Linked DNA regions of Struthio camelus. The protein of the gene in region 1 purifies or fractionates together with the protein of each later gene. This does not show direct contact. Links are inferred from orthologs where the notes say so. Each region holds a gene or a part of one and is shown on either strand. Other genes may lie near its edges.

Region 1 (7,388 bases):
GGCTAGCCACTCTCCATTAGGACTAAATTTTACTGACGAGACTGCCTTTGTATGTCCTGCTAACGTGAACTTTAGAGCATAGTTTGGTTTTACTGGTGCAGGCTGTAAAAAAAAAAAAAAATATATATATATATATATATATATATATATATATATACACACACACACACAGACACACACATACATACATGAATGAGTCGTATAAATACCAAACTGAATATCTCAATGACAAGTTCTGTATTAGACCAGGTCACTACACAGTATCAGACTGCATGAATAGTCACCATAATAGATTCTACTGTTTACATTTTCCCCTCTCCAAATTCAGACAAAAATCTTGATGCCTGGAGCAAGCAGTGCCTCACTGCACATGCACAACAACAAACTCATCTTTGGTATGAATTACATCCAAACCAATAATAAATAGGCGAGAGTAATCCAACAGTCCAATCACAGACCGCCTGACAGATTAAAATAAAACACTTAGTGCTATTAAATATTTGTAGTCCTTTAACTTTTTGTGAATCATATCACAAACCAATTCTTCCACATTCCCAAAACCCCAAACATTCTCCCTTCTCACCATTTGCACAGTTTTTGCGGTTAAACAGTGACAACTCCCTTCAACATCCACAGGCCTCAAACAATGACTGCTTCTCCACCCTGCAACTAAGACGGTAAATTCACCTATTCTCCAGTAACGTCTAGGCCTTCCAACACCTTAGATTTCTAATGCTGAAAGGGACAAAAAGTATTTCCTCTGCATGAACTTGAAGAAACAAAGATACCCTAGCACAAAAGAGGTTGTACTTCATCTGCTTTCCCATAAAATCGTTAGCACATTTTCAGTTCAACAGCAGTAGCAGAAATCCCAAGTTCTTAATTCCTATCAGAATTCAATTTCTTAAAAATCTCTAATTCTAGTTTGCCTTTTGAATATGTAGACAGTTTCCATGCGTATTTACAAAGATATTGTTCAGAGGCCCACACACACCTTGCTCTGATTGGTTGAGGAGGAAGGAGTAGATTGTGTTTTGGTGGATTCTGCATCTGGCTTCTTTTCTTCTGTTGCCATGGTTCTGAAGCTGGCAAATGAGACTTATGGTGCTTGAAGGGGAGAATGAATGTGCTGCTTCAAAAGACAGCCTTTGCCACAGAGAGGAGAAATCACACTGGAAATGAAAACCTGGAAGAAAAACAAAGTATCATTAGCTGTCAAAGAAAGATTGTCAGCAACTAGAAGAATGAGATGAGCATAACTGCAGGTCCCCAGAAACCAGTGTTAAAAGACAAAACAAAACAAGAAAAACACGCACTATGGATCTTTTATCCAGAGAACTGAATCCTGCAAGCAGACTTAAGGAAACATCACATCACCAACATAGCAACATTTATTTCATGCGGTCAGATCTATTAAAGTGCAAGATCAAGAACCCAATCTGTGGCCTTTAATCACTTCTTGGAAAGCTGTTTTACACTGCCCTGTTAATTAGAAATAAAGCAGAATAGCTTTTAGGTGTGGCAAGGTTTTTCCTATAATACTCCCCAATATGCCTATGAGAAGTACTTTAATAGCATAGTTTAAAACCATAGACAATGGTTTGCGCAGAAGGTGGAAAGATCCGTCCGAGGCCTTTTTTCAGATGTATCAAGACACAGAACACAAAATCATAATACAAAGAAGAAAGTAACAGGCATCTCCAAAGCTTAAAATCTTGCTAGGTTCCTTTCATCTTGTAATTCAAGTATTCCAGTCTCATGTTTCTCCCCTAAACGGTCAGAGCACCAAATCACGCTCTTCTTTTCCTGAGTCTTTCACCTGACTAAGAGCCAGCCTTGTATTAGTCGCAACAGACTTGCTTTCTGTAACAAAACCTGGTAAAGCGCTGTGCTGGTATTCTGTAATCGGCGCTGATACTGCAGAGGGAACGATCTCCGCTGCAGCTCCGCCAGATTTCAGCTTAGTAACAGACTCACCTCCAGCTCACACGCCAAGGATTTGTCTTTAAAGTACGTTTGCAACATCCCGCTACTGCTACCGCTCTTTTCTGCTGGTGGCAGCAGATTTGGGCGCAACAGCATTTGCTCTTCCAGCGACCAGCGGCATGATAAGCACCTCGTCCTCGGGAGGGCACAGAGCTAAGCGCTACCGGTTGCCTGCCGGCTCTTACAAGCCCTCTCCGCGGCGCGGACAGACGGCAAGAATAAGAAATGAAAACTTTCCTAACCCAGGTCAGATCTTTTTCATCTGGAACTAATCCGGCAGCTCCCGCGAGCGCGCACCCGCCCTGCCAAGGCGCCGCCGGCTGCCGGGGGGCCGCGACGGCATCGCCCCGCGCAGCCCGGCCCCCGCCAGCCGCCGCCGCGCACGCGGCACCGACACCCGCCCGCCCGCCCGCGCCACGGCCGCCGGCAGACGCCCCTGCCCGCCCGCGCCGGGGGAAGTTCTCCGCCGGGAGCCCAAACTTTGGCGGCGGCGCCGCCAGCTCCGCGGTGCGGGGGGGGGAAGGAGGTCGCAGAGCCGCCGCCGCCGCGCCCGCCCCGCGCCGCTCCCGCCGCCCCCCGCGACGGGCGGGAAAGGGAAGGGGGGGGAGGGGGCGCCGCGCGCTGCCTGAGGGGAGGCGGCGGCGGCGGCAGCGCCGCGCGCGCGTGAGGGTGGGAGGGAGGGTGTGTGTGTGGAGGGGGGGGAGGGGGGAGCTCCGCTCCGGCCCCCCCATTCCACCCCACCCCATCCCATCCCATCCCGCCCCGCCGCCGCTGCTGCTGCTGCCTCTCAGTGACTTACCGGGGGAGGGGGAAGGGGCGGGGGAGATGGCGGCGCCGCCGCCTCCTCCGCGGCGGGGCGGGGGGGGGCAGCGCGGCCGCGGGAGGGGAGGGGGGGACGCGGCGGCGGCGGCAGCTCCGGAGCCGCCAGGCGGGGGAATGTGGGATGGCGCATGCGCGGTCCGGGCCAAAGGCTGCACAATGCCGCTCTCTCCCGGGAGCGCTACGGCAAGGCCGAAGAGTCAAAAAGCAGCAAGCGGGGAGGTTTGGGGGGGGGGGGGGGAGCTGGCAACGCCTTAAAGGCGCAGGCGCCTGCTTCACTTCTCCCTTTCCCCCTTGCCGCGCCTTCCACTCGCCTTTTTCTCTCTAGGGTTGAACAGCAGCGGCTAGAGAGAAGGAAGGATGTGCCCTGCCCTCCCTCCGCCGAGGAAGAGGCCTGCAAGCTGCAGCCGCAGCTCCGGGGCGGCCAGGCGGGCAGCCGGCCTCGAGGGCGCAGGGCGGCCGAGGCCTGCGAGGCGCGCAGGGGCCTGCCTGGCGGTGTCGGCCGGGAACCGGCGGTGCTGCTGGGCTCAGCGGAGAGGGAAGGGGTGGCGGGAGGGGTGCTGATAATCCACCCCGTGCTGGCCCAGGTTAACGGGACGTACCCCCCCCCATCACCTCGCGCTCGGCCCTGGGCGGCTTCCCCTCGTAACAGGGAGCGCTCTAGGGGCTGGCGGTCGGGGACGGAGCCCTCTGCCTCGGCCTGTGCTGAATGACAAAAAAAAAAAAAAAAAAAGTAATTCAGCCCGGCCACAGCAGGGCTGGATGTTTTGGGGGTCATAATATGCAAAACAGCACTGCTGAAAATATGCTGCAGTGCTGCGGATAAGAACTGGTAATGAAAAGGCTGGATGCTGATCCATCAGGCTCGACACTAACGCATGTAATGCGTAAAGGTGATGTGTGAGCCATTCAATACCACAATATTTGACTGGGTATGAGTACATCTAAGCCAGTCCTCGGTGTACAAGGGCCCAGACTCAGAAAAGCATATAACTGATTCATTACGGCCAAACAACCTACTTAAAGTTAAGCGCCTGTTTAACCACTTTTCTGGAGAGTAATGTTTTCTTTTTTTTTTTTTTTCCTCCTGAACCACAGCTCTAGGCTGCACAGGACGCAGTACGGTCTGCTTTTAGTTAAGAGGAAAAAAAAGCAAGAGACACGTGTCACTTACTGGCCCTTTAACACAGGAAGATCTTTGGGCTCCAAAAATTCTAGTGGCAGTTGAGAAAGGAAAAAGCTGAAAAAAGCTGCGGTGCAGCGAAGCCAAGGCCCATCTCCTTCAGCCTGGAAACCCAAGCGGAAGTCTGGAGAATTAACCCTGCCATCCAAACGCAGGGAGGAGAACACAGAGATGTAAGAGCTGTGCTGTCCCCAGAACCGTATTAGGAAATGAATCAAGCTGAGTTTCAGTCAGTCCTTCTTCCAGATGGATTTGGCCCGAAGTTTTGTTGTTTGAAAAAAAAAAATGGGGGGGGGGGGTGAGGGAGAAGGCACAGGAGAGTACACAAATCAGCATGATAATGCTATTTATTTGTTCAGCTTTCTTGTGATAGGAATAGAGTGTTTTGTTTCTTTCATGCTGGTTAAAGTTTGTCTGTATTGTGCCACTGCCTGCTTTGGAAGCCCTTGCCTATTATTTTATACATATGTGCATATATATATTTATATCTATATCCTTATCTATAGTGAATAATATATCTCTGGAACTCAAAAATGATAACCCCAGTAACATAGTAACAATTATTCTAAACAACCCCTTGGCTTCTGAATCCTGTTTTTGTTATTAACACATTTGAATGATTTTAAGCAGAGTTTGGCTAAGTATTTGCACACATGCTGGACTGGATTTTTGACAGCATGGCTCATGCAGAGAAAGGAAATGCAGCGAGCAAGGGCATTTCATCAGGACTGAATAACATGAGTGAATACTCAGAGATCCAAAGGACAGCCCATTGTCTTGGGATGAAGCTTAACTTGTTGGTTATGAGTCATCCATGAGGATCCTTCTTGCTCTGATCAGGCTGTGCTGCCGCAGCTGTGATCAGCAGGATGTGCTATCTGTCCAAATTCCCTCTCTGTAAAAGAGTGGGGCTTGGCAGGCTGCTCTCTTGCAAAATCTTTCATTCCATTTGGTTCAAAATAGCCTGAACGTGGTGACCTGCCAAGTACACTGGAAAAGACACCTGTCTGAGAGTTTTTGGAAGGGAGCAGCTTCCCATAATGGTGAAAGGGAAAGAAAAGTCTTTCCGTAAATGGCTCAGAGCATACGAGAGTGACTGCTGTCAGTGCCGCTGAGATCCCTTCAGGTGGCTTTAAGGGTGTCAGGAACTAAGCTGGGGCCAAGGGTCCTGCTGTTGCTAATGTAATAAATTTTGTCACAGGTTCCACTGAGAGCAGAATCAATCCAGTCCTGCAGATCTCATCCAAATGATGTTAATATTTGTGGAAAAGCTCCCACTAACTTCAGCACATGCTGGATCTGCTTTTTAGACTTGTCTGCTACAAACAAGCACATGCTTACGTTTGTGACGGTAAGTAATAAGGCACTAAGCTTACAAGCTGCATTAGCCCATATTTAGGCTTTGGCACAATTAGCAGTCTCAGTTAGGGTTTTTATTTGCTTGGGCCACTCGTACAGCAAACGGAAAGCGCAGGACGGACAGACTGTGTGTTACACACTGTTGAAGAAACAGTAGGAACAAGAAATCGTGAAAGAGACCTGCTGCATCTTTTATACTTTTAAAGAGCAACTGATCCCTGACATGTAGCTGTTTCTGTGTGGTTGCTAATATGCTGCTCTGTTTGTTCTAAATCCCAGATACATCACGTTCATATGTTTCTCCTGGGATTTAAAAACAAACACTGAATGTTTTCCAGGCTGATATTTCTACCTCCCCCACTGCAGTATGAACCTTGCTTGCATCAGTGCCAACATTTGTTCATTGAAAACTAGGAAACCTTACCTCAGTGGAAAGTAGGTAGGATTTGATCCATTTTGCCCAGGGATGGATACGTACAAACCCTCAGCCTGGGCACAGGAACTTATGGAAGCTGAAGAACTTCTTTTGAAATAAGATCATTGAACATGGCATGTATAGAGCTCCATCTCAGTAAAATTCCTGTTATGAAGCGGTCTGCGTTTGTGTAGGAGAAGCTAGGACTTCATGCAGGATTAGGGTCCAGCACAGTGCTGTAATGTATCATTCTGTACAGAGTCTCCCCAATCTCAGCCAACTTAATGCAAAAAGGCTGCTGATTTGAGAGCCTTAGACGGAATCACACGTGATCTGACTGCCAGACGTGATGACAGCCTGCCTCTCCCAGCCACTTCAACTGGAGCAGCAGGTTCTCAGCACTTCTGTGAATCAGGAACTTTGTGCCTGGCTGGTGCAAATGGTTGCAATGCAGATGAATGGACAGTTCGATACAACTAGCTCATATCCCTGTCCTGAGACAGTTTTAACGAAATCTAAGTATTATTATTACTCATTGTCATTGAGAAATGGAAAAGTTTAGAACTGTTATTATTAGATTAGAGCACCTCTTTACCATTCTCTCCAGTCTTTGTAAGAGGGCGGGATGAAAAGGAAGAAAATACACAGGAATCCATTAGGGATTTGGCCAGCTGAAACCTAGCATGTTCTGGTATCTGTCAGTTTAAACTGCCAGCTCAGTAGCACACGCTATTCAAAAGCTTGCTTACCTGTGCAAACCACTGTTAACAGCAGGTGCTGCATATTCGCACCACACTGAACGTATAACAAAACCATTTAGACACATCTAACCAAATAAACGTATTTACTGTGGCAAAGGCTACATAGCCATATCGAGTGAGTGGTTTCTCTTCACTTCTCAGATTCCTTTGGCAGGTCCTTTTCTTCTCTCCTGCAATACTTCAGTGCAGGGACTGAAGGCACAAACCTTGCGTATGGTGAAGCAAGATTATTTATTTCATATTTCGTCCTCTCTTATATACCGGACCCTTATTGTGTAAGAATACGGCTGTGTTTACTGACTAAAGTTGCTTTGCTACGTTACTACAAGCCACGTTCTGCATTAAGATTATCTTCCCTCTCTCACGTCCTTGTCCTAGTTTCAATATCTGCATTCTGATAGCTCACGGGCACCTGCCCGTCTTGGCACTGACACAAGTCTTCATATTATGCACACTTTCCCAGGGCTTCTGGCACTGAGGGAATGCTTTGTTGCTGCTCCTAATCGTCTTCTGGTACACATCGCCCCCGACATCTCCCCCTTTTTGTTTTAACAAAACTGCATACGCTTGTTGATTGAAGGCGCGATCTATCATTCGTTGCACGCATTGTAGAAGACAGGGAAACAGGCACAAACAGACTAAGATTATCAACAATACAATCAAGCCACTCTTCACAATAGTTAATAACCACCCTGTGATCCCCCATCCTGAGAATACTCGTCCCAGCCAATCATTGTCATCTAACCTCAACTTCGCTATGCTCTCCTTCAATCTCACTATACTGTCGTGAATAGATTCTGAGTGATCTGACAAATTCATAAAACACATTCCTTCCAAAATCTCACCCCCGTGGCCATGCGCCAAT
Region 2 (7,013 bases), on another chromosome or scaffold:
AGATGCCTCTTTTGGAAGGGTCCACAGAACTACCTGAATCACATACTGGGAGACCATAGGAACAAACTGAAGACACATGGTAAGAGGCTAAAATAAAAGCTTCAATATCCTTTCACATCTAGCACAGTTCTTTGCAGTGGGAGCAACACACATCCCTAAGAGATGACCATACATATAAAGATGATCAGAAACATTTATTCAAAAGCTCTTAAATGAGAGAACTAAAATATCTTAACGTGCATGTCTTTAGTTCTTCTCATTGTATATTGGCTCAAGTTTAAATAAAATCCCTTACTGGAAAGCGATCACCAACAACAGAAATTCTGCAAAGTGGATGTGGGTGACCAATCTATTACAAACTAAAGAAAGGGAAATCAAGTTCCTTCTACCGTAAGTTTATTGGTTCTGAGTACAAAGCAAAGGCTATGAAAACTGTTAATAATCAGCAAATGTTAACTGCAGTACACACGGAGAAGACCTGATAAGTGATTAGCCAATTTGAACAACTAACTTTAGATGACAACCACTCTGAGTTACCACAAAAAGCACATAAGGCAATTTATTGCCTCTCACATTAAACATATATATACTTTCAGTACTTTTCAATACTTCTTGCTGAATCCTTTTGAAGAAACAGGGTGAAAGTCTGCACCAAGGGACAGCTATGACAAAAAAGAAAATGGTCATTTATTTCAATTATGACATTCTTAGACATACACCACCATGATCTAAAAGTACAAAGATACAAATTGTACATTTGTTTTTGGGTTATTTAAGGCTTTAAACACTCCCCGCACTTTGATTCAAGACTTTGCTGGTAGAACACAACAGAAAGTACTCAAGATTATCACATGAGCCACAAATTAGCAGTAGAAACATTTACCAGAGGTATTAGGTCTAAACTTCTTTCTAATAACTATCTCCAAGTGAACACTGTAGAAAGAAATACAACTATTGGCTTTGTCAGGAAATAAAAAAGGCATTATAAACATTCCAATGCTGTTAATTTCTCTGTTACAGAGCAAGCATTTTCTAAATCATTCTTACTACAGATATTCCTTTCCCTAGCTTATTAGTGACTGCTTTTATTGTAGTCTACTGCAAGGTATTAATTACAACTCGCAAGGTATTAATTACAACTACTTAGAAGTCACCATTGTCCTGCCACCTCAAAACTTCTCCCTTCCCCACTTTCTCTTGCCTCTTCACTAGTGTAGTTTTATGGCTGTTTAGGGTCTCAGTTAACAGAGGTTGACACTAGCGCCGAGTATCAAAATCAAGGCATCACCGCAAAACTGGAGATACAGCTATCTAGTGAACTACAATTACCTGACATTAAAAAAAATGTATATTGATAAAAAACAAACATGCAATCATTTGCAGGGAGAAAGCTTGCAAACTATCAATGTAATCTTTCTTTCAATAATGCAAAAAAGCAAGCCCTCTTCCCTGGCACAAGTAAGATCCCAGCTTCACCAAAATTCTCCCTAACTGGGGCCTCCTTTCCCCTTTAGGCTGAACAAAGAACGAGAGCTAGCAACAAAGAGAAGGGGGCGGCAACAACCACTCTGCCTCCTTTAGTGTAGTTAAAAAAAAGAAAAAGAAGAAAAAAAAAACTAGACAGGCCCCACAAGATCTGCCATTTCTGAACAGCGGCAGATTTGCTACAGCAACAGACACCTTTGATATCTTGCTTGGTTTAGCCATTCTTCTCCGTTTCCCAAACGATGAAAACACATCACAAGCAAAGCAGCCTCAACCTCTGTTTCCTGACTACTGCACACACAACTTAAGGGATTCCCATGACAGGAGGAAATCTTAAAAATGAAATTGGTAACTAATCTGACCAGTTTACCCTCCCAGTACCAAAAATAAAACCAAACCCAAGCCCTGGAAAAAAAAAAAAATAGAAAAGTTTTCTCTGTTGTGGCCAGAAAGAACCACAAGCAAGTTGCTGCAAATACCAGAAACTAAAGCGTGAGCTTTATGTACTTCTTAGATGTGACTGACAAGGCAAATCACAAGTCACTACATTCTCACCAGGCGAGTGCACAAACTTAAGAAGGCCTACAAAAAAATCCAGTTTCCCCATTACTAAACATACATGCGACTTCGGTGTTTTGCTAGAGCAGAGGTTCATGAAAGCCAAATTTACACTCTTCATGCATGTCCTGGGGGGAGGGGGGTTGGGAAGAATACGCCTGTCCCCTCCACAGACAGAAAGCCTCTATACAAACTGGACGAAAGGCCTCAGCTGCAAGGATCACCAGGTGCCGAACCTACACATGGCCTAGACTTTTGGCAGGGGAGGAGCCAGACACGGCAGCGACTCCAACGTCTTCACGGATAGCGGATGGAGGAGAGTGTATCAACTTTTTTTTCTTTTTCTTTTTTTTTTTTGGGGGGGGGGGGAGGGAAGCGGTAACAATAAACACAGCATTCTCCGCCGGGCCCCCGGCTCCGCCGCAAGCCGGGCAGCCTCCCCACCAGCACCCTGTGCGGCTCCAGGTCGCCTTTCCCCGCGCCGCTCCGGCCCTGCAGGTGGATGGCGGCGGGGACCGGCCGGCGCTGCGCACCGCGGTGCCCACGGGGCACCTCGACCGGGCGGTGGGGGGGGGGGGGGGGAGGAGGGAGGAGGCCGCCCCCGGCGGCGGTTAGAGGGGCTTCCCCCACCCGCACTCCCGCGCTCACCGTCATAGTAGTAGCAGACTTTCTTCTTGCCGCCGCCCTGACTGTACGCCATGGGGCCGCCGCGCCGGGGCTGAGCCGGGGGAAGGGGGAGGGCGCGGGAGGCCGAGGCAAGCGCCGAGCCGGCGGGGAAGGGAGGGAGGGGGCGGGCGGAGGCGGACGCGACAGAGCGGGAACGCGCGACGCCGGGGCACAGGCAGCGCGAGCGGACGCGACCAAGGGGTGGGGAGGCGCGGCAACACGGGCGCGCCCAATCCGCGGGCCCCGGGGGAGGGCAAGAGAAAGGTAGGCGGAGAGGGCGGGCGCAAGTGAGCGTGGGCTCTCCTCTACTCATCCCTACGGCTGTCACTCAATCATGTAGGCCGGAACGCAGTAGCAGGCACCGGTGAGCCCTCACAAGCGAGACGTTCGAGGCGGCGCCTGGCATGCGCACCCCTACGCCAGCCCCGTGCAGTGGTACGGTCCGCCGGCTCGAAGGAGGGAGACGGCGCATGCGCGGGGTGACGCCCCCTCTTCAGCGCCGCCTGCGCTGTGCATCGCATGGCGACGCGGGAGCGGGGTCGGGGCGGGAGACCTCACTGCCCGTGCCCGAAAAAAAGCGGGCTGCTCCTCGCCTCAGCGCGGGAATAGGTTACTCCAACTCCCCTCAGGCCACCCCCCCCCCCACCCGGGGCAGTGGGGCAGGGTCCCGCCCGGGCCTGCCCCGAGCGCGCGCGGCCCCCCTCCCCCCCCCCCGGCCGTTACGGGCGCGCTGCCGGCCCCTGCCTCAGGGCCCTTCTCCCCTGAGCGGGAGTACGGGCCGCGTGCAAATACTCGGCCTCTCGGGCTTCTCGCACCCATCCCCCTTTTCACTTCCTACCCTCTTTGTCTGTTCTCCCACCAAAAGCAGTTCTGATTCTCCGGACCTAGCGTTACATACTGTTTTTTTTTTTTTTTTTTATTTTAAATACTGAAAGCACTGAAAAACCTCACCTCTTTACACTTTTAAAATAGCTCAGCACACACCTTCCTTCACACAAATCATAGCACACAGGACAACAGGTAGGTCTGTGTCTAGCTGCAACTAAGAGCGCTCTTGGAGGCACATACCGTATTGACATTATTGTTGCCCAGTAAAACACGCGTCCCTGTTTTAGGAGGAGTTCAAAGCATACTTTACAATGTGCATAGCAATTCCTTTTTCCAGAAGGAAAGCACGCTACAAGATCAAAGTACTTGGGGTTTTATATATGAGGCTTGACATCCGGATCAAGTTTCAATTTGAGACCTACCAGCAATTTTCTCTGCCTTGAGGTTTGGTTACACATCCAGGAGGAAGAAATAAATGATTAAGCTGGTAACATTTAGGCTTAGCCAATAACTACAGCATTTTTGTATTGGCAACAATTCAAGGCTTCACAGCTCTTGGAGTTTGAGGTCCCGTGTATCAAAGCCTGAGGGTGTATATTCAGTCATCAACATAGTTACAGAAGATTATTCAGCCAATATGAAAAATCTCATATCCTAGCTTTAGGGACTTGCATTAGTTTTAGAAGTCTTAACCAAGGTTTCTTGATTTATCAAAGATCCTAGGAGTATCTGTAAACACAGATTCATATGCACCTTTATATCAGATTATGTAAATACCTGCCCTTTATCAGTATCACTTACCAAAACTAGTACATGTCCAAACCAAAGTTAGATCTCTGCTTCCAGAATCAGGTTATTTTCACCCCTAGAGATATCTAGCACAAAGTTAGGTCCTCTTGGGTGATAAGTTGGTTCTCTATAGAGACAGCTGTAAAGTACACTTATGCTAATTACATGTACACATACAACACACATTGAAGATAAACTTAGGACACACTGAAGTAAAAATGGGTTATTGGTTTTTTTCCCCCCCTCCCTTAGCGTTATAAGGGAAGGAGACTACTCAGTTATGTAGCCAAGTGTTGTAGCATATGTAGAAAGCATTTGCCATATTTTATTTGGAATTTTTTACTCTTAGGAGTAGCATAAAAAAAATTCTTATAGTTTGTCATGCAGCTGACTTCTTGCTACAGACTACAGCAAAATACCTGCATGACATTAGGACCCACAAGGCATGATACTGTTCACTCACCAGTAATTTTCTTCTAGCCTTAGCCTGCTTAGTACAATCACTGTTTGAACAGAATTAGACCGGACAGCAGAAGCTCCGTGCACTCTTGGTTACCTAATATTAACTATTAACATACTCTTTCCACAAGCATACAGAATGCCAGTAGTCAACTACTTGGTTTTGTAGTTGCCAGAGAAGCATTTGTGTTCAAGAATATAATAGCATATGTCACCTGGCTCAATATGAGGAATGTGTTGCTTGCACTGTGCAAGTAAAAGGGGCTCCTTAGGGGCTTTGTATAAAGAAAAGGTTCTTAATTAATGTTACATAAATTAGTTTCAGTTGAGTGGGTGCTCAACCTGATACAGAAACAGCTTATTTTGGTTTAATTTAAACCAGTGACATTAGCTAAGTCAAAAGAAGCCACTTGCTTTCATAGTAAAAATGACTACATATACTCTTCTAATGTTTGAATTTGTTAGTAAGATATATATAATTTCATTTAGAAAAGTTCCTAGAAACACAACTCGCATGTGAATGAGGCAAGTGCAGACAAGCTTACAAAGTTGCCCTTTAACCTGAGATGAGAATTAGTTAATTAAGTTGTAATAACTCAGTTTTACACTAGAGACACAGTTAGATTCAACAGGTCAGAAAAGCTTAAATATTAAGTTTCAAGTGTGTGTGTACAAGGATAATGATTTAGCCCAGTCTCACTTCTGGAAATGCAAGTTCTCCAGGCAAATTCAAAATAATTTGCTAAGGAAACAGCATGACCACCATGCTACATAAAAGTAAATGACACAGAAGAAACTCAGGAGTAATCACTCCCCGTAGTAAGTGCACATGAACTTCAGCTGCTAGAATCCCACGCTGGTTTTGAGGCAGAGAAGTATATAGCAAAACATTAGTGAAAGAGATCAATACTCTATTTGACTATCTAACTATGGATAGACATGGATTTACAACAAAATGAAGATATTTTTATGCAATCTATAATTAGTTGTTTTTACTGTTAGACAGTTTTCAGCTTTCACCATTTTTTTGTTACTATACCAGCTTTAGGCTGTTCCATCACACAGTACTCGTATAGTAAACAACATGGAAAAAAGGAGCTAGGAGGTTTTAAATCAAATAATAGCTTTCAGCTTCAGCATTTGCAGCAGCTTTCACAATATAAAGTATAACTACTTAAACATATTTCTCATAAAGCACATCCACTATGAAAGCTCAGTGAATGCTTATGTAAACAGGGAAGGAGAGAGTCACAAAAGGTGGAAATTTAAACTTTTGTTTTTCCATCATCAAAAAGCAGTCAGGACAGCATTCTCAAATCCACAGGTGCGCTATAGTAATAGCCAAGAAGACTAAGGTATTTTAGAACATAGGCATAAATAGAGCACCTTTAGCAGCTGCTAGGGAGGAGAGAGTTAGGAAAGGAGGAACAGTGAAAGAAATAGCATAGGTCATATACCACAGACATCACGACCAGATCACCTTCTTTCCCTCCCCTCATGTACTCTAGAAGCAGAAGCATACAGCTAGAAAGCTAGCTATTAACTATCTTACTGCCTAAACTGCAAAATCCCACACACAGACGCTAATCTATATACAACTACTTCAGTTCACTTCAGCAGAACTCAATAATTAGCTCAATAATCAAGTTAAACAAACAAACAAAAAAATTATCAGTATAAAATTTCTTTCCTTCCAATAGCAAGAAAAATTACTAACCCAAAAATTAGAGAGCCCTCATGGTATCAAGCAGAAAAACAAACAACCACCTCTTAACCCACCTCAAACCAGGCTGTTCACACTGAAAAATGAAACTAATTTAACCTAAAGGTACTACGTACAAAACCTTTTCCTTGGTTAACCTCCACATAAAATCATCCCTTGTACAATTAGCTACATTAAGGAACAAAAACTTTTTATCACACAAACCACTCCTGCTCCCTTTCCCCCCTTTTATCAGTGGAAAATAAGTCTCTTCAGGTGTTACCTCTTAGCAACATTCACAGCCACAAACTTGTAATCACATATACATAAATATAAGTAAAAGTAGTATTGACTTCTTGTGGTATTGACCTAGCCCTTTGTCCAGTAGTGCTAACAATCTCTTTATGGCACAAAAGACAATTAATAAAAAAAAAAAAAAAGAACTTTCCGTTAGGTGTTCAGCAGACCTTAGCGGAGTTCCAGAAAGCGTGTGACCTAACAGGGCTTTGGGGTTGCTTTCCTGAAA
Region 3 (7,811 bases), on another chromosome or scaffold:
CCCCACGGTGGTCACGTCAACCCCACGGTGGTCACGTCAACCCCGCAGCAGTTGCACCAACCCCAAGGTCATGCCAACCCCACGGTGGTCACACCAACCCCAGGGTCATGTCAACCCCATGGTGCTCACGCCAACCCCGCAGTGGTCACGCCAACCCCGCAGTGGTCACCCCAACCCCAGGGTCGGGCCAACCCCACGGCTCGTGTCCATCCCATGGTTTTCATGTCAAGTCCTGGTCATACCAACCCCAAGGTCATGCCAACTCCACAGCGGTTGCGCCAACCCCACATTCGCGCCCACCCCATGTCAGCCACGCCAACCCCGTGGTGGTCACGTCAACCCCATGGTGGCCATGCCAACCCCACGGCAGTTGTGCCAACCCCACAGCGGTCACGTCAACCCCATGGTGGTCACGCCAACCCCACGGTGGTCACGTCAACCCCAGGGTGCTCGCGCCAACCCCATGCTCACGCCAACCGCGTGGCTCACACCAACCTCACGGTGGTCACGCAACCCCAGGGCTCGCGTCAACCCCATGGGGGTCACGCCAACCCCAGGCTCCTCATGTCAACCTCACGGTGTTCGTGCCAACCCCATAGCACCCACGCCAATGTCAGTCCCGTCAACCCCAGGGTCATACCAACCCCATACCTTGGGTCAACCTCATAGCTCATGTCAACCCCACAGTGCTCACGCCAACCCCAGAGTCACGCCAACCCCACGGCTCGCGCCAACCCCACGGCGGTCGCGCCAACCCCACGGCGGTCGCGCCAACCCCACGGCGGTCGCGCCAATCCCAGAGTCACGTCAACCCCACAGTGGTCACGCCAACCTCGTGGTCACACCAACCCCATGGCTCACGCCAACCCCATGGTGGTCACGCCAACCCCATGGTGTTCACGCCAACCCCGTGGTGGTCACGCCAACCTCGTGGTGGTCACGCCAACCCCGGGGTGCTCCTGCCCACCCCAAGGTCACGCCAACCCCCGGTGCTGCCGCCCCCCTGTCCCGGCGCGAGGAGGGGCCCCGGCGTCCGGGCGGGCCCCACTCACCCTTATTGGCCACCTCCCAGGCCACCTCGAAGAGGACGACGTTGTCGAGGCTCTCGCCGGTGGCCCAGTCCTCCAGCCCCGGCAGGGAGCTCACCGAGACGCTGCGGGCCAGCGGCATGGCCTGCGCCCCAAAACGGCCGAAACGGCCCCAAAACGTCACCGGGGTGGGGGCAAAACCAGCACCCCCCTTGCCAGGGGCACGGGGGCACCCCAAAACGGGCAGAACAGCCCCAAAATGTCCCGGAGGGAGGCGGAAAGGGGGGAACTGTCCCCTAAATGTCACCAGGCAGCCCCAAAGCAGGGAAATTACCCCCAAAATGGCACCGAGGGGGCTGAAAATGCGGGAAATGGCCCCAAAATGGCGCCGGACACCCCAAAAGCAGGGAAATTACCCCCAAAATGGCACTGAGGGGGCTGAAAATGGGGGGAATGGCCCCAAAATGGCACCGGACACCCCAAAAACAGGGAAGTTACCCCCAAAATGGCACGGAGGGGGCTGAAAATGCGGGAAATGGCCCCAAAATGGCGCCAGACACCCCCAAAACAGGGAAGTTACCCCCAAAATAGCATTGAAGTGCCCAAAAACAAGGGAAACACCCCCCCAATATGTCACTGAGGGGCCTGAAAGTGGAACAAACGCCCCCAAAACGTCGCTGGGAGGACGAAAATAAGAGAAACGTCCCCAAAACGGCACTGGGGGGGGCTGAAAATAGGGGAAGTGCCCCCAAAGTGTCACCCGGGACCCCAAAAGCAGGGAAATTACCCCCAAAATGGCACCGGGGTGCCCTGAAATAGGGGAAATGCCCCCAAAGTGTCACCGGTGGGGGGCCAAAAATGGGGGAAATGGCCCCAAAATGGCACTGGGGGGCTGAGAATAGGAGAAACGCCCCCAAAACGTCCCCAGTGGGGAGCAAAAATGGGGAGAAACAGCCCAAAAATGCCATCAGGGGCTTCAAATGGGGTAAAAACCCCAAAAACGTTACCAAAAAGGAGCAATAATAATAGGGAAATGCCCCAAAATGACCCTGGGGGAGACTGAAAAGGGGGGAAATGTCCCCAAAACGTCACCGGGGTGCCCCAAAAACGGGGGAATCGGCCCCAAACCGTCCCGGGGGTGCCCCGAAATGCCCCCGCCCCCGATTGGGGGCACGGCGGCACTCTGAAAGCAGGGGAAACCCCCCAAATTGTCACGGGGGGGCACAAAAAATGGGGAAACCGCCCCAAAACCACCACGGGGGGGGCACCCCGAAACGGGAGCATCTCCCCCCCGCCCCCAGGGGTCCCGGGGGCAGCTGGAAACGAGGGAAATCCCCCCAAAACGGGGTCACGTGGGGACATCCTGAAACTGTACCCCCCACCCATGGAGCCCCCCACCCATAGGCCCCCCCCAACACCTGGGGACCCTCCCCCACCTTAGGACCCCCCCCAAGTGCCCCCATAGGGGTCCCCCCCGGGCACAGCCCCCCCTCAGAGATCTCCCCCACCCATAGGGACCCCCCCAGCCCCCCCCACCCATGGGGGGCCCCTCCCAGGGCCAGGACCCCCCCCCAATTGTCCCCTCAGGGCCCCCCGCACATATAGTTCCCCCCAAAACTAGTGGGCCCCCCCAGGCCCCCTATAGGGCCCCCCAATCCATAGAGCCCCCCCCATTGCTCCCTCATGTCCCCCCCACTCATAGGCCCCCCCCAGACCCCCTATAGGGTCTCCACAACCCTTGGCCCCCCCCATTGCCCCCCTCAGGGGCCCTATAGGCCCCCCAACCATATCCCCCCCCCATTTCCCTTCTCAGGCTCCTCCCAGGGCCCCCCCCACCCCCCCATAGAGCCCCCCCATAGAGCCCCCCCATTTCCCCTCTCAAGCCCCCCCCAGCCCCCTATAGGGCCCCCCCAACCCATGGGCCTCCCCCATTGCCCCCTATAGGGCCCCCCACCCATAGCCCCCCCAGGCCCCCTATAGGGCCCCCTCCACCCATGGGCCCCCCCATAGCCCCTATAGGCCCCCCCACCCATAGCCCCTCCAGCCCCCTATAGGCCCCCCCAACCCATGATGGGCCCCCCCAGTGACCCCCTATAGGCCCTTCCACCCATAGCCCCCCCCCAGCCGCCCTATAGAGCCCCCCAACACCCCCATAGCCCCCCCCAGCCGCCCTATAGAGCCCCCCCAACCCATGGACCCCCCCATTGCCCCCTATAGGCCCCCCCCACCATAACCCCCCCCGCAGGCCCCCTATAGAGCCCCCCCCCACGGCCCCCCCCCAGATCCCGGAACCGCCCCCCAGTCGCCCCCCCCATCGAGTCCCCCCTCCAGCCCCCCCCACCCCCGGGGTCCCCCCCCACCCCTGCGACCCCCCCGGCCCCCCCCTTCCCCGCCCCATGGAAGACTCCAGGGGTTCCCCCCCCCCCAAAAAGTGACTTTTTTTGGGGGGGGGGGCCGGCCCTGGGGGGGGTTAATGGGGCCCTGGGGGGGGCTCAGTGGGACCCCCCCCTCCACCTGGACTTTTGGGGGGGGTCCCGGTTGGGGGGGGCCCCCCTCTCTCTCCCCCTCCCCCCTCCGTCCCGCTCACCTCCTTCGCGCTCCCGCAGCTCAGCGAGGAATGACCCCTCCCGCCCGCCGTCGCCGCGAGGCCCCGCCCCTCCCTCCCTCCGGCCCGGCCCTCCCCGACGCTGATTGGCTGCGCCGGCGGGTGATGGACAGGCGGCGGGTTTTTTTTCCCCCCCCCCACGTGCGGGAAGGAGGGGGGGCGCGCCTTAAAGGGGAAACGGCGGCGGGGCGGGTCGAGGTGGGGCCCACCGCGGGGCGGGCGGTGGGGCAGGTTGGGGGGGGGGGCAGGCTGAGTTGTGGGGTAGGCCACGGGGCAGGTTGGGGGGCGGGCGGTGGGGCAGGCTGGGCTATGGGGCAGGCGGGGCTACGAGGTAGGTCATGGGGCAGGTCATGAAGCAGGTCAGGTTATGAGAGAGGTTAGGGGGCAGGTTATGGGGCAGGCTGGGCTATGGGGTGGGCTATGGGGCAGGTCATGGGGCAAGTTATGGGACAGGCTGGGCTGTGGGGTGGGCTATGGGGCAGTTTATGGGGCAGGGCAGGTCATGGGGCAGGTTATGGGGCAGGCTGGGTTATAGGGCAGGCTATGGGGCAGGTTAGGCTGTGGGGCAGGTTATGGGGCAGGCTATGGGTCAGGTTGGGCTATGGGACAGGTCATGGGGCAGGCCAGGTTATGGGGCAGGTTATGGGGCAGGCTATGGGGCACGCTATGGGGCAGGTCGGGTTATGGGACAGGCTATGGGGCAGGCTAGGCTATGGGGTAGCTTATAGGGCAGGTTATGGGTCAGGCTGTGCTGTGGGGCAGGTCATGGGGCAGGTTATGGGGCAGGCCGGGTTATAGGGCAGGCTATGGGGCAGGTTAGGCTGTGGGGCAGGTTATGGGGTAGGTCGGGTTATGGGGCAGGCTATGGGGCAGGCTGGGCTATGGGGTAGCTTATAGGGCAGGTTATGGGGCGGGTTATGGGTCAGGCTGTGCTGTGGGGCAGGTCATGGGGCAGGTTATGGGGCAGGCCGGATTATGGAGTGGGCTATGGGGCAGGCTGAGCTATGGGGTAGGTTATAGCACAGGCTATGGGGCGGGTTATGGGGCAGGTTGGGCTATGGGGCGGGTTATGGGGCAGGCTACGGGGCAGCCCATGGGGCAGCCCCCCCGGCGGGGCTGGAGGACCGCGCACCATCGAGCGGCGCGGCCGGAGCGGTCCCTTTCCCCACTTCCCCTTCCCCCCCCGCGCGTCACTTCCGCCGGGCGAACGCGAGGCGAGCGCGAGCGCGGGAGCGGGAGCGGGCGGCGCCATGGCAACGGCGGTGCGGCCCGGCCCGGCCCGGGGGGCTGAGGGGGGCCCGGGGGGGGGGAGGAATGAGGGGATGGGGGGGTCTGGGGGGCTCGGGGGGGCAGGAGGAGATGGGGGGCCTGGGGGGGCTGGAGGAGATGGGGGGTCCAGGGGGGTCTGGGGGGCTCGGGGGGGGGGCAGGAGGAGATGGGGGGCCTGGGGGGCTGGAGGAGATGGGGGGTCCAGGGGGGTCTGGGGGGCTCGGGGGGGGGCAGGAGGAGATGGGGGGTCCAGGGGGGTCTGGGGGGGCTCAGAGGGGTCTGAGGGGTCCAGGGGGGCAGGAGGGGATGGGGGGTCCAGGGGGGTCTGGGGGGGCTCAGAGGGATCTGAGGGGTCCAGGGGGGCAGGAGGGGATGGGGGGTCCAGGGGGGTCTGGGGGGCTCGGGGGGGGCAGGAGGAGATGGGGGGTCCAGGGGGGTCTGGGGGGCTCGGGGGGGGCAGGAGGAGATGGGGGGTCCAGGGGGGTCTGGGGGGCTCAGAGGGGTCTGAGGGGTCCAGGGGGACAGGAGGGGATGGGGGGCCCGGGGGGGGTCTGGAGGAGATGGGGGGTCTGGGGGGCTCAGGGGGTTCTGGGGGGCAGGAGGGGATGGGGGGGTCTGGGGGGGCTCAGAGGGGTCTGGGGGGCTCGGGGGGGCAGGAAGAGATGGGGGCTCTGGGGGGCCTGGGGGGGCTGGAGGAGATGGGGGGTCCAGGGGGGTCTGGGGGGCTCAGGGGGTTCTGAGGGGGCAGGAGGGGATGGGGGTCTGGAGGAGATAGGGGGTCTGGGGGGGTCTGGGGAGGCAGGAGGGGATGGGGGGCTGGAAGAAATGGAGGGGTCTGGGGGGGCTCAGGGGGGTCTGAGGGGGGCAGGAGGGGAGGGGGGATCTGGGGGGCTCGGGGGGGGCTGAGGGGATACGAGGGACCATGGAGGGGGGCAGCAAGGGATTGGGGGGGGTCTGGGGGCAGATCCGGGGGGGGAGATCTGGGGTTGGGGGGGGTTCTGACCCCCCCCGACCCCCCCAGACGACGAAGGTGCCCGAGGTGCGGGATGTGACGCGGATCGAGCGCATCGGTGAGCGCCGGGGGGGGGGGCAAATCCCCGGGGAGGGGGCAAATCCCCACGTGGCGGGGGCAAAAGCCCCCCCGGGGGGGTCAAAACGCTGCTATGGGGGGGGGGAAACCCGAGCCTTGAAGACGGGTAAATACCCCTATGGGGGGGGGATCTCCCTGGGAGGGGCAGAAATCACAGCGTGGGGGGAAATCCCTACTGTGAGGGGGAGCAAATCCTTGGGGGGGGGGCAGACCCCCACCCGGGGGGAGGGGTCCGGGCCTCCCCCAAATCCCCACCCCCCCACCCCACAGGCGCCCACTCCCACATCCGCGGCCTGGGCCTGGACGACGCGCTGGAGCCCCGGCAGGTACCGGGGGAGGGGTCTGGGGGGGGTGTCCAGGGATTTGGGGTGTTGGGGGGGGCTCTAGGGGTTTGGGGGGGGCTCGGGGGAGCCTTGGGTGGGTTTTGGGGGTCCCTGGGGGTCTTAGAGGTGCCGGGGCGGGGCTCTGGGGGTCTTAGGGGGGGCAGGAGGATCCTGGGGTGGTTTGGGGAGGCTTTTGGGGGGGGGCCTGGACTGGTTTTGGGGGGTCTCCGGCGGTCGTGGGTGGGCCCTGAGGGTCCTGGGGGGCCCTGGGATGGTTTGGGGGGGTCTTAGAGGGAGCCAGGTGTGGTTTTAGGGGGTCCCTGGGGGTTTTGGGGGGGGCTCAGGGGGGTCCTGGACACTTCTAGGGGGTCCCTGGATGCTTTGGAGGGGGGTTGGGGGGGTCCTGGGGTGCTTTTGGGGGGGTCCCTGGGTGCCTTGGGGGGTGGGGGGGGTCCTGAGGTGCTTTTGGGGGGGTCCCTGGGTGCCTTGGGGGGGTCCTGGGGTGCTTTTGGGGGCTCCCTGGGGGTCTGGGGGGAGCCTGGGGTGGGTTTGGGGAGGTTTTAGAGCAACTTGGGGGTGCAGGGGGGCATTTTAGGGGGCCCTGGGGTGGATGTGGGGGGTCCTGGGGGGATTTTGGGGGTCCCCACCCCCCCCAGCTCTCACAGGCCACGATGGGGCAGCGGGCGGCGTGCCGCGGGGGGTGGTTTTGGGGTGTTTTGGGGGTCAGAGAGGTTCTGGGGGGGTCCCGGGTGGATTTGGGGGGGGGTTTTGGGGGGTGGTCGGCGCTCCCACGACCCTCCACCCCCCCGGACCCCCCCCCAAAGGTGTCACAGGGCATGGTGGGGCAGCTGGCGGCGCGCCGGGGGGTGGTTTTGGGGTGTTTTGGGGGTCAGGGAGGTTCTGGGGGGGTCCCGGGTGGATTTGGGGGGGGTTTTGGGGGGTGGTCGGCGCTCCCACGACCCCCCACCCCCCCGGACCCCCCCCCAAAGGTGTCGCAGGGCATGGTGGGGCAGCTGGCGGCGCGCCGGGCGGCCGGCGTCATCCTGGAGATGATCAAGGAGGGGAAGATCGCGGGCCGAGCCGTGCTCATCGCCGGGCAGCCCGGCACCGGCAAGACCGCCATCGCCATGGGTAGGGCCCGCACACGCGTGTGCGCCGCGCCGACACGCGTGTGCCCCGCGCCGGCACGCCTGCGCGCTGTCCGGAGGCGCCCGAGCGCCCCGCCGTGCCCTACGGGGCCGCACACGCGCGCGTCGGCCCCTTCACGCGCGTGTCGGCCCTTGCACACGCATGTGCGCCGCGCTGACACGCGTGCCCGCCCCCTTGCCCGCACGGCGCAGGCGCTGGGCCCCGCCGCTGGCTGTCCCCGTGGGGGCGCCGCGTGCTCGCCCACGCGTGTCGGCCCCCCCCGCGGGTGTTTTCGTCCCCCCCGCACACGCGTGTGCGCGGCGCTGACACGCGTGTCTCAACCCCCCCACGCAGGCGCTCGGCCCTGC
Region 4 (7,658 bases), on another chromosome or scaffold:
GCGGCAGAGGGGAGGCTGCAGCTGCCGGGCTCCGCGCCGCCCCGGCCGCAGGGCTCCCTGCCTTCGCTCCCACGGGGGCCGCAGCCCCCGAAGGCCCCCTGCGGATGCCCAGCAGGAGCCAGGCTGGGGTGGCTTTGCTACCCTAGCTTGGCTCCCCTACTTGTCCCTGCTGGGAGCTTGCATCTTTGGTGAGTTAAAAGCCCAGTGCCAGCAGCAGCTTCTCCTCTTGCTGGCTAAAAGCCACATGTAAAATCTCTGCCTGCTGGCTCAAAATGCAGCTGGGGGTGAGCCCTAGCTGGCCTTCGTGGTCCCCAGTGTCTCTGGGACGGCGGGGCTTTAGCCAGTCCTTGCAGTCTCCATCATCTCTGGGATGACGGGACATAGCCGCCCTTTGCGATTCCCAGCATCTCTCGCTCGAGCGGTTTCGGGCTCGAAACCCGAATCCCCGAGCTGGGATGCTCCAGCTGGACAGGCAGGCGCCCACCCGTGATTACCGCCTGGGAGCCCCGTGCTGGCGCCCGGCCCCTCCCGGCCCTGCCCCGCCGCGGGGGTCCCTCTGCCCCCGTCACGCGCCGCCCCCTCTCTCCGCAGGCTTCTACAACGGCCACACCAAGGTGGCCGTCAAAAGCCTGAAGCAGGGCAGCATGTCGCCCAGCGCCTTCCTGGCGGAGGCCAACCTCATGAAGAACCTGCAGCACTCGCGGCTGGTGCGGCTCTACGCGGTGGTGACGAAGGAGCCCATCTACATCATCACCGAGTACATGGAGAAAGGTGGGGGGGGGGTGCAGGAGCCGCCGGCTGCTGCCCGGCACGGTGCTGTGCAAACGGGTGAGGCGGGGGCGCCGGGGGTGTCTGCGCCGTGCCGAGCCCCGTGGCCAGCGAGGAAGCGTGCCGTGGCGGTTCGCTCGGGCTCTGGCCGCCGCGTCCCCCGGGGCCGGCGGGATGGGGTGCGTCCCTGCCCGCTCCCCGCAGGGACGGGGCGGTGGGCACGCGCCGGGAGGTGGCCAGGGTTTGGGAGGTGCCGGGGCGCTTCCCTGTCCCATCCCTGTCCCCAGCGAGCGCAGAGCGGGAAGCCCCAGCCCGGCTCCCCGCTCGCGCCTGCCCGCGGTGGCTGCTGCGGCCGGGGCCGCCTTTCGCCTCCTCGCGCTGATAAAAGCCCGGCCAACGGAGCACGGCCCTCCGGCCCGCCGGGAGCGGATCCGGCGCCGGCGTTATTCCTGGCAGCGGGCAGGACCTTGCGGACGCGGCGCTCTCCCGTCCCCGCCGCTCCCCGCCTGCCTTTCCGGGCGCTGCGAGCTTCCCAGCAGTGGTGCGGCCGAGGCCAGGGCCCGAGGGCAAGGACAGGCTCCTCGCCGGGTCCAGGGCGTCCTCCGGGAGCTGGCAGTCCTCCCGGAGGAAACGCGCCGGATCTGCCGTGCGCGGCTGTGACAAAGGGTCTCGAGCCGGAGGCTGCCAGCCCGGGGCCATCCGGCCCGTCCCCAGCCCTGCATCGCAGCAAGGACCCCCGGGCTGCGGGACGGCCGCAGCTCCTCGCTCCCCGGGCACGGGGCGTTCCCAGCGCCAGGCTCCGCGGCGGCGGGGGACCACGCCGCACGGCGCGGGGACGGCGCGGCTGCTGGCACCTTCACCCCGGCGCGCAGCCCCAGCGGCTGCCGGCGAGGCTGCCGCTGAGACCTGCCGGCTTCGTTGCAGGCAGCCTGGTGGATTTCCTCAAGACCTCGGAAGGAGTCAAGCTGACCATCAACAAACTGCTGGACATGGCCGCGCAGGTGAGGGGGGGACGGCGCCGCCGGGGCTGGGCTGGGAGCTGCCCCGCTCCGGCTGCCGACCTGAACCCCTCGCGATTGCTGCGCACCGCAGATCGCCGAAGGCATGGCCTTCATCGAGGCCAAGAACTACATCCACCGCGACCTGCGGGCCGCCAACATCCTCGTCTCGGAGACCCTGTGCTGCAAAATCGCCGACTTCGGGCTGGCCCGCCTCATCGAGGACAACGAGTACACGGCTCGCGAGGGTGCGTCGGCCGCGGCAGAGCCCCCGGGCCGCGGCGGCGGCGGCACCCGCCTGCCGCCCAGCCCCGCTTTCGGCGGGATCGCAGCCCTATCTGGCGGCGAGCGCGGGAACGGGCCGGGGGCCGTCACCCCTGGCTGCGCAGGGGGGCTGTTCCCAGCTCAGCCGTAACGTTTTCTCCTCCCCTCTCTGTCTCAGGGGCTAAATTCCCCATTAAGTGGACGGCGCCGGAGGCTATTAATTACGGGACGTTCACTATTAAGTCGGACGTCTGGTCCTTCGGCATCCTGCTGACGGAGATCATCACCTACGGCCGGATCCCGTATCCAGGTCAGGATTTCCCGGCAGCTGCGGCACTCCGCAGCGGGGCTGGGGCTGGGGCGCACGCGCGCGCCCGGCGTGTACATGCACTGCCGCACGCACGCACGCTCGCTCCCGCGCCGCCCCGTCTGGCTCGCTCCCCTTCCCCTCGCCAGCCCGCGACGGTTTTGACCTCTTTCCAACGCACGTTGCCAGCCCCAAAGACATCGGGGGGTTCAGACACGGTTTTGGGGGGGGGGGGGAGGAAGCTTTCCCTGGGATTTGCAAATATAAGGTGCCGCCTGGGACGTGCTGGGGCGACCCAAATCCAGTGGCACACGCGCTGCCCTCCCAGGGATGACGAACCCGGAGGTGATACAGAACCTGGAGCGCGGCTACCGCATGCCGCAGCCGGACAACTGCCCGCAGGAGCTGTACGAACTGATGAGGCAGTGCTGGAAGGAGCGGCCCGAGGACCGGCCCACCTTCGAGTACATGAAGAGCGTGCTGGAGGACTTCTTCACGGCCACCGAGGGCCAGTACCAGCAGCAGCCGTGAGGGACCCGCGCAGCGGCCTCCGCGGGTGCTCCCCGTCCGCTGGGTCCCCACGCATCACCCCGGGCATTTGCAAACACGGGCCGGACCTCACCGCTCTCGCAGGCAACAGTAAAGACTTGATGCGTTTCTGGAGCAGCGGATTTTTTTCCCCCCAGAAGAAGAGGGACAAGCTGACACACGACTCCTCCAGGCAGGCGGCAGAGGCGAGGACCGCCGGGCTGGGCGGCTCGAGCAGAGCGCGTGCGGGACTCCGGCCGCCGCGCACCCCCGTGCCCGCGACACGGTCCCCGCACTCGCCCCGGTGCCGATGCAACCTCCACCCGGCACCGCGCGGCTCCTCCCGAGGCTGCCTGCGAGCCGAGCTGCCCCCGGCCCGGGCAGGCGCGGAAAATACGCTGTGCACTTTCACATCCACCGCCCCGGACCTCGCCTCCGCGTTTACCCCAAGGCTGAAGGCAGGTCCCCATTGCAGCTGCAGGAGCCGCCGTGCGGGCGGCTGTCCCGGAGAGCCCCGTAGCCGTCCCGGCCCCACGCCGGAGCCCTCCGGGCAGTGCTTGTGCGCAGCGGCGGCGGTCGGCAGCATACCCGCGCCGAAGGGGTTCGCACGGCTCTGCCAGGCATTTGGGGACACGGCACCCCTGCCCTCCCCGCGGCCCCTCCAAGCAGCCGGGCTCCCTGGGGCGATGCCGCAGAGGTGAAACCTCGTCTGCCGGAGCCGGGGTCCCTCCAAGCCTTTCTGCTGCATGGCTGCGCCCTGGCAGGCACCCTGCATGCACCCGGTCCCCAACTCCTCTGGATTTGGTCTAGCAGGAGGAGGGAGCAGTGGACGGAGCAGAGAGCAGGGATCCAGACCCCGGAGGGCCGGAGAGGGGCAGGGGGAGCTGCACGGAGGCGAGGGCCGGAGCCGGGAAGGTTTCCCGGTTCCTGCAGCCCCGGGGACTCCGCGTGCTTCCATCGAAGGCACTTCCAGCAGAAACTCTCCCCGTTTAGGAAAGGGCCATCCGGACGGACCAGACGCTGGCTGTAGGATCCCCTTTCTCCCCACGTTTTTAATCGCAAGACTAAAAATCCTACTGCTGTCTTATTTTGGGGAAATAAAGGCCTTTGAACCACAGCTGGCTCCTGCCCCTGGAGGCAGCTGCGGGGAGAGGGAGGCCAGCGGAGGATGGCCGGGGGGGAGGTGGGCGCAGGGGACCCTCGGGGACCGGCACCTCGCGCTGCTTGTCTCACCCCCAGCCCTGGGGTGCTGGGGGGGGACGTGAGGCCCTACTTGTGCCATCCCTATCCCCTTTGGCCTCCTCACACCCCCCTCAGCCCCCTTTGGCCCTCTCTGGCCCCTTCATGTCCTCCCAGCCCTCTTTGGCCCCCTTTGGCTCCCTCATGCCCCCCACCAGCCCCCTTTGGCCCTCTCTGGCCCCCTCACTCCCGCCCCAGGCAGGCCCTGCCTGAGGCCTGGCCCCCGACGCCCCCCCCCTCCGCCCTAGGAATGGTCCAGTCCCACCTGGCGCTCCCCCTCCTCGCGAATGGTTCCGCCCCACCCACCTGGATCCCCCTCCCCGTTAGCCTGACGACGATCTCCCCCCCACTCTCCGGTGATGGTACAGTCCTATCCCGTCCCCCCCCACTCGGCCTCGCCTCCGCCGGCAATGGTACGATCCAAGCACCCTGGCGCTCGACCTAGCCTGCTAGCTCCCCCGCGCCCGCTCTCACTCGCCGCCGGGACTTTCTATTGGTCGGCTGGAGATAGGGGGCAGGAAGCCCCTCCCCGATTGGCGGGCTGCCCAGCGGGGGCGGGGGCACGGGGAGGCGGTGGGGCGACTGGCCCCGGGGCGGGTTCGGTTGCGCGGCGGTAGGGTCTGTCGCTGTCGGGAGGCAGGAAAATGGCGCTCACGCAGGGGACCAAGCGGAAAGTCTGTTATTACTACGACGGTGAGGGGCTGCGGGGCGCCTCCGGGGGCCGCTGCGGGGCAGCGCCGCGCCGGGGGGGGGCGGCGGCGGGCGGAAGCCTGACGGGCCGTCGGGGGGGGGGGAGGGGAGGTGGCGCGGGGGAGGGGGTAATGGGGTACTGGGGACTTGGGGGGCTGAATTGGGGAGAATGGGGGACCTGGGGGCTGCAGTGGGGGATGGGCAATGGAGGCCGTGGGGGCCTGGGGGCTGCAGTGGGGGATGGGTAATGGGAGCTGTGGGGGGCCGTGGGGGGCTGGGAGTTGCAGTGGGGGATGGGTAATGGGGGCTGTGGGGGCCTGGGGGCTGCAGTGGGGGATGGGTAATGGGGGCTGTGGGGGGCCGTGGGGGGCTGGGAGTTGCAGTGGGGGATGGGTAATGGGGGCTGTGGGGGGCCGTGGGGGGCTGGGAGCTGCAGTGGGGGATGGGCAATGGGGGCTGTGGGGGGTCGTAGGGGCCTGGGGGCTGCAGTGGGGGATGGGTAATGGGGGCTGTGGGGGGCCGTGGGGGGCTGGGAGTTGCAGTGGGGGATGGGTAATGGGGGCCCTGGGGGAGGTGGGGCATAGGGGACTGCAGTGGGGGATGAGTAATGGGGCCCCTGGGGGCCGTGGGGGGCTGGGAGCTGCAGTGGGGGATGGGTAATGGGGGCTGTGGGGGGCCGTGGGGGGCTGGGAGCTGCAGTGGGGGATGGGCAATGGGGGCTGTGGGGGGTCGTAGGGGCCTGGGGGCTGCAGTGGGGGATGGGTAATGGGGCCCCTGGGGGCCGTGGGGGGCTGGGAGCTGCAGTGGGGGATGGGCAATGGGGGCTGTGGGGGGTCGTAGGGGCCTGGGGGCTGCAGTGGGGGATGGGTAATGGGGGCTGTGGGGGGCCGTGGGGGGCTGGGAGTTGCAGTGGGGGATGGGTAATGGGGGCCCTGGGGGAGGTGGGGCATAGGGGACTGCAGTGGGGGATGAGTAATGGGGCCCCTGGGGGCCGTGGGGGGCTGGGAGCTGCAGTGGGGGATGGGTAATGGGGGCCCTGGGGGAGGTGGGGCATAGGAGACTGCAGTGGGGGATGGGTAATGGTAGCCCTGGGGGCTGCAGTGGGGAATAGAGAGATGGGTAATGGAGGCATGAGGGTTGTGGAGAATGGGTAGTGGGGACATGGGGGGCTGGGAGTTGTACTAGGGGGATGGATAATGGGGGGACTTAGGGAGCTGGAGGCTGCACTGGGGCGTGGGTGGGGTGGTGGGGGACACTGAGAGACATATAAGGGATGGGGACTTCACTAGGGGATGGGGCGCAGGGGTTAAGGCATGGATCGGGGTAGGATGTATGGGGAACTGCAGTGAGGGGAGGCGCAGGGGAGAGTGGAAGGCAGGAGAAGGGTTGGGGAAGACTGAGGGTCACAGGAAGGATGTGGAAAGCGTGGCAGGGGTGTAGGGAGTGCTGGGGAGCCTGCAAGGGATGTAGGGTGCATGGCAGGGGGGTAGGGAGCAGTAGGGAGCCTCCAAGGGAGTGGGGTTCATGAGAGGGATATGGGGAAACACTGGAGGGTGGAAGGGAAGGATATGGGGCAAGGGAAAGATAGGGAGCAGCACTGGTGGAAAGTTGGAGGAGGTTGGTGGAATAACTTGGGGAGGAATGGAAAACTTGGAGGTGGGGTGGAAATAGGAAAGGCTCTGAAGGGGCCAAGATGGGGGAGAAGGGCAAGGGGCTGAGAGAGGCTCTGGGAGCTATGCCAAGATACTGAGGAAGGTTTATGGGGGGATGGGGAGCACTCAGGGAGATGCTGGGGGGGGGAGGAAAGGGTTAAGAGCCTCCGTGAGCCATGGTAAGCAGAACAGACGCTCCTGAAGCTCCATTTGGATCACTATCAAGCAAGGGACAAAAATGAAGACATTGGCAACCAGACCAATTGCATGGCTATTTCTAGGGAGTTCCTGTGTCTAGGAGTATTGTTTAATTCTGGCTCTAAACTTGGCTGGATTGTAGACTGTGTTTTTGCTTTGCTTTGTTTTCCTTTTACAAGGATAGGGAAACACTGCTTTTTGGCTATATATTTGGGGTAGCAAAGTAATAGGGTATAAGAGCTGGCCAGATCTCAGCCAAGGTAACTTGTGTAGCTTCCTCACTCTTCCCCTATAGTCTGTGAAAGAAATCACAGTTGCGTTGTCTCTGTGCATGTTCACAGCTGCCTCTCCTTTAGCAGAGGGAGTCTGTGCACGTTCACAGCTGCCTTGTCTCTGTGCACGTTCGCAACTGCCCCCCCCCTTTGGAGGGGGGAACTGGTGTTTCGGTAGTGGGTGAGCTGAGTTTTACTGTAGTCTGTGATCACTCTATGTGAAAGGTATTGTGCAAGTCTCCTCTATTTCATCATGGTTTTTAGTCTCTGAAGTCAAATAAAAACTACTTCTCCATGGTTTTTTTCTGTGGTAAGTGGATGTGCTCAGTGTTCGTTAAGGCCATAAAGTGAGCTCGCTTAAACTGCTTTATATGTCGGGCATATAGCGAGGGCATTTGCTTTTTCAGAAAAGCAAATCTGAGTGATAGATTTTTAACCTGTAATGATAGCTGCACCAGGTCTCTGACTCAGCCAGAGTCTCCAGGGGAGTGTGACGAGGAAGAGTCTGAATTAGGACTCTCGGTGCAGTGAAACAGTGAGCCTGATTTTTCTGGACCGTCCTTTTCATTCCCAGTGCTGCGTACAACTGATCTCTATGCAATACCCAGCAGATCAAAATACAGTGGGGTACTGGTGCCGCGGGCCCTAAAATGCCGACTTTAAACTTGAAGAATAGTTGCAGGAAGTATCAGAATACTGTACATGCGCAAGTGGCCAGGGCGTTGAAAGAAAACTGTATGTC

The links.
Region 2: the proteins of WDR5 (region 1) and HDAC2 purify together in Homo sapiens (affinity purification with mass spectrometry; 7 studies listed by BioGRID and IntAct, with this or other methods). This does not show direct contact. The link is inferred for Struthio camelus from reciprocal best matches to the Homo sapiens genes WDR5 and HDAC2.
Region 3: the proteins of WDR5 (region 1) and RUVBL2 purify together in Homo sapiens (affinity purification with mass spectrometry; 3 studies listed by BioGRID and IntAct, with this or other methods). This does not show direct contact. The link is inferred for Struthio camelus from reciprocal best matches to the Homo sapiens genes WDR5 and RUVBL2.
Region 4: the proteins of WDR5 (region 1) and HDAC1 purify together in Homo sapiens (affinity purification with mass spectrometry; 8 studies listed by BioGRID and IntAct, counting the BioPlex papers as one, with this or other methods). This does not show direct contact. The link is inferred for Struthio camelus from reciprocal best matches to the Homo sapiens genes WDR5 and HDAC1.

What each region holds. Positions count from the first base shown.
Region 1 is NC_090961.1:4,664,586-4,671,973, forward strand, and holds the start of WDR5 (WD repeat-containing protein 5), read right to left. Parts: upstream 3,005-7,388; 5' UTR 2,786-3,004; intron 2,365-2,785; exon of another isoform or gene 1,978-2,364; intron 1,187-1,977; 5' UTR 1,076-1,186; coding exon 995-1,075; intron 103-994; coding exon 1-102.
Region 2 is NC_090944.1:63,043,012-63,050,024, forward strand, and holds the start of HDAC2 (histone deacetylase 2), read right to left. Parts: upstream 3,012-7,013; 5' UTR 2,744-3,011; coding exon 2,692-2,743; intron 1-2,691. UniProt on the Homo sapiens protein: Histone deacetylase that catalyzes the deacetylation of lysine residues on the N-terminal part of the core histones (H2A, H2B, H3 and H4).
Region 3 is NW_027182627.1:50,392-58,202, reverse strand, and holds the start of RUVBL2 (ruvB-like 2), read left to right. Parts: upstream 1-4,795; 5' UTR 4,796-4,883; coding exon 4,884-4,895; intron 4,896-5,923; coding exon 5,924-5,972; intron 5,973-6,262; coding exon 6,263-6,318; intron 6,319-7,304; coding exon 7,305-7,446; intron 7,447-7,811. UniProt on the Homo sapiens protein: Possesses single-stranded DNA-stimulated ATPase and ATP-dependent DNA helicase (5' to 3') activity; hexamerization is thought to be critical for ATP hydrolysis and adjacent subunits in the ring-like structure contribute to the ATPase activity.
Region 4 is NC_090964.1:8,597,561-8,605,218, forward strand, and holds the start of HDAC1 (histone deacetylase 1), read left to right. Parts: upstream 1-4,643; 5' UTR 4,644-4,748; coding exon 4,749-4,797; intron 4,798-7,658. Other genes in the region: tyrosine-protein kinase Lck, read left to right, coding at 592-771, 1,693-1,769, 1,861-2,014, 2,209-2,340, 2,666-2,868. UniProt on the Homo sapiens protein: Histone deacetylase that catalyzes the deacetylation of lysine residues on the N-terminal part of the core histones (H2A, H2B, H3 and H4).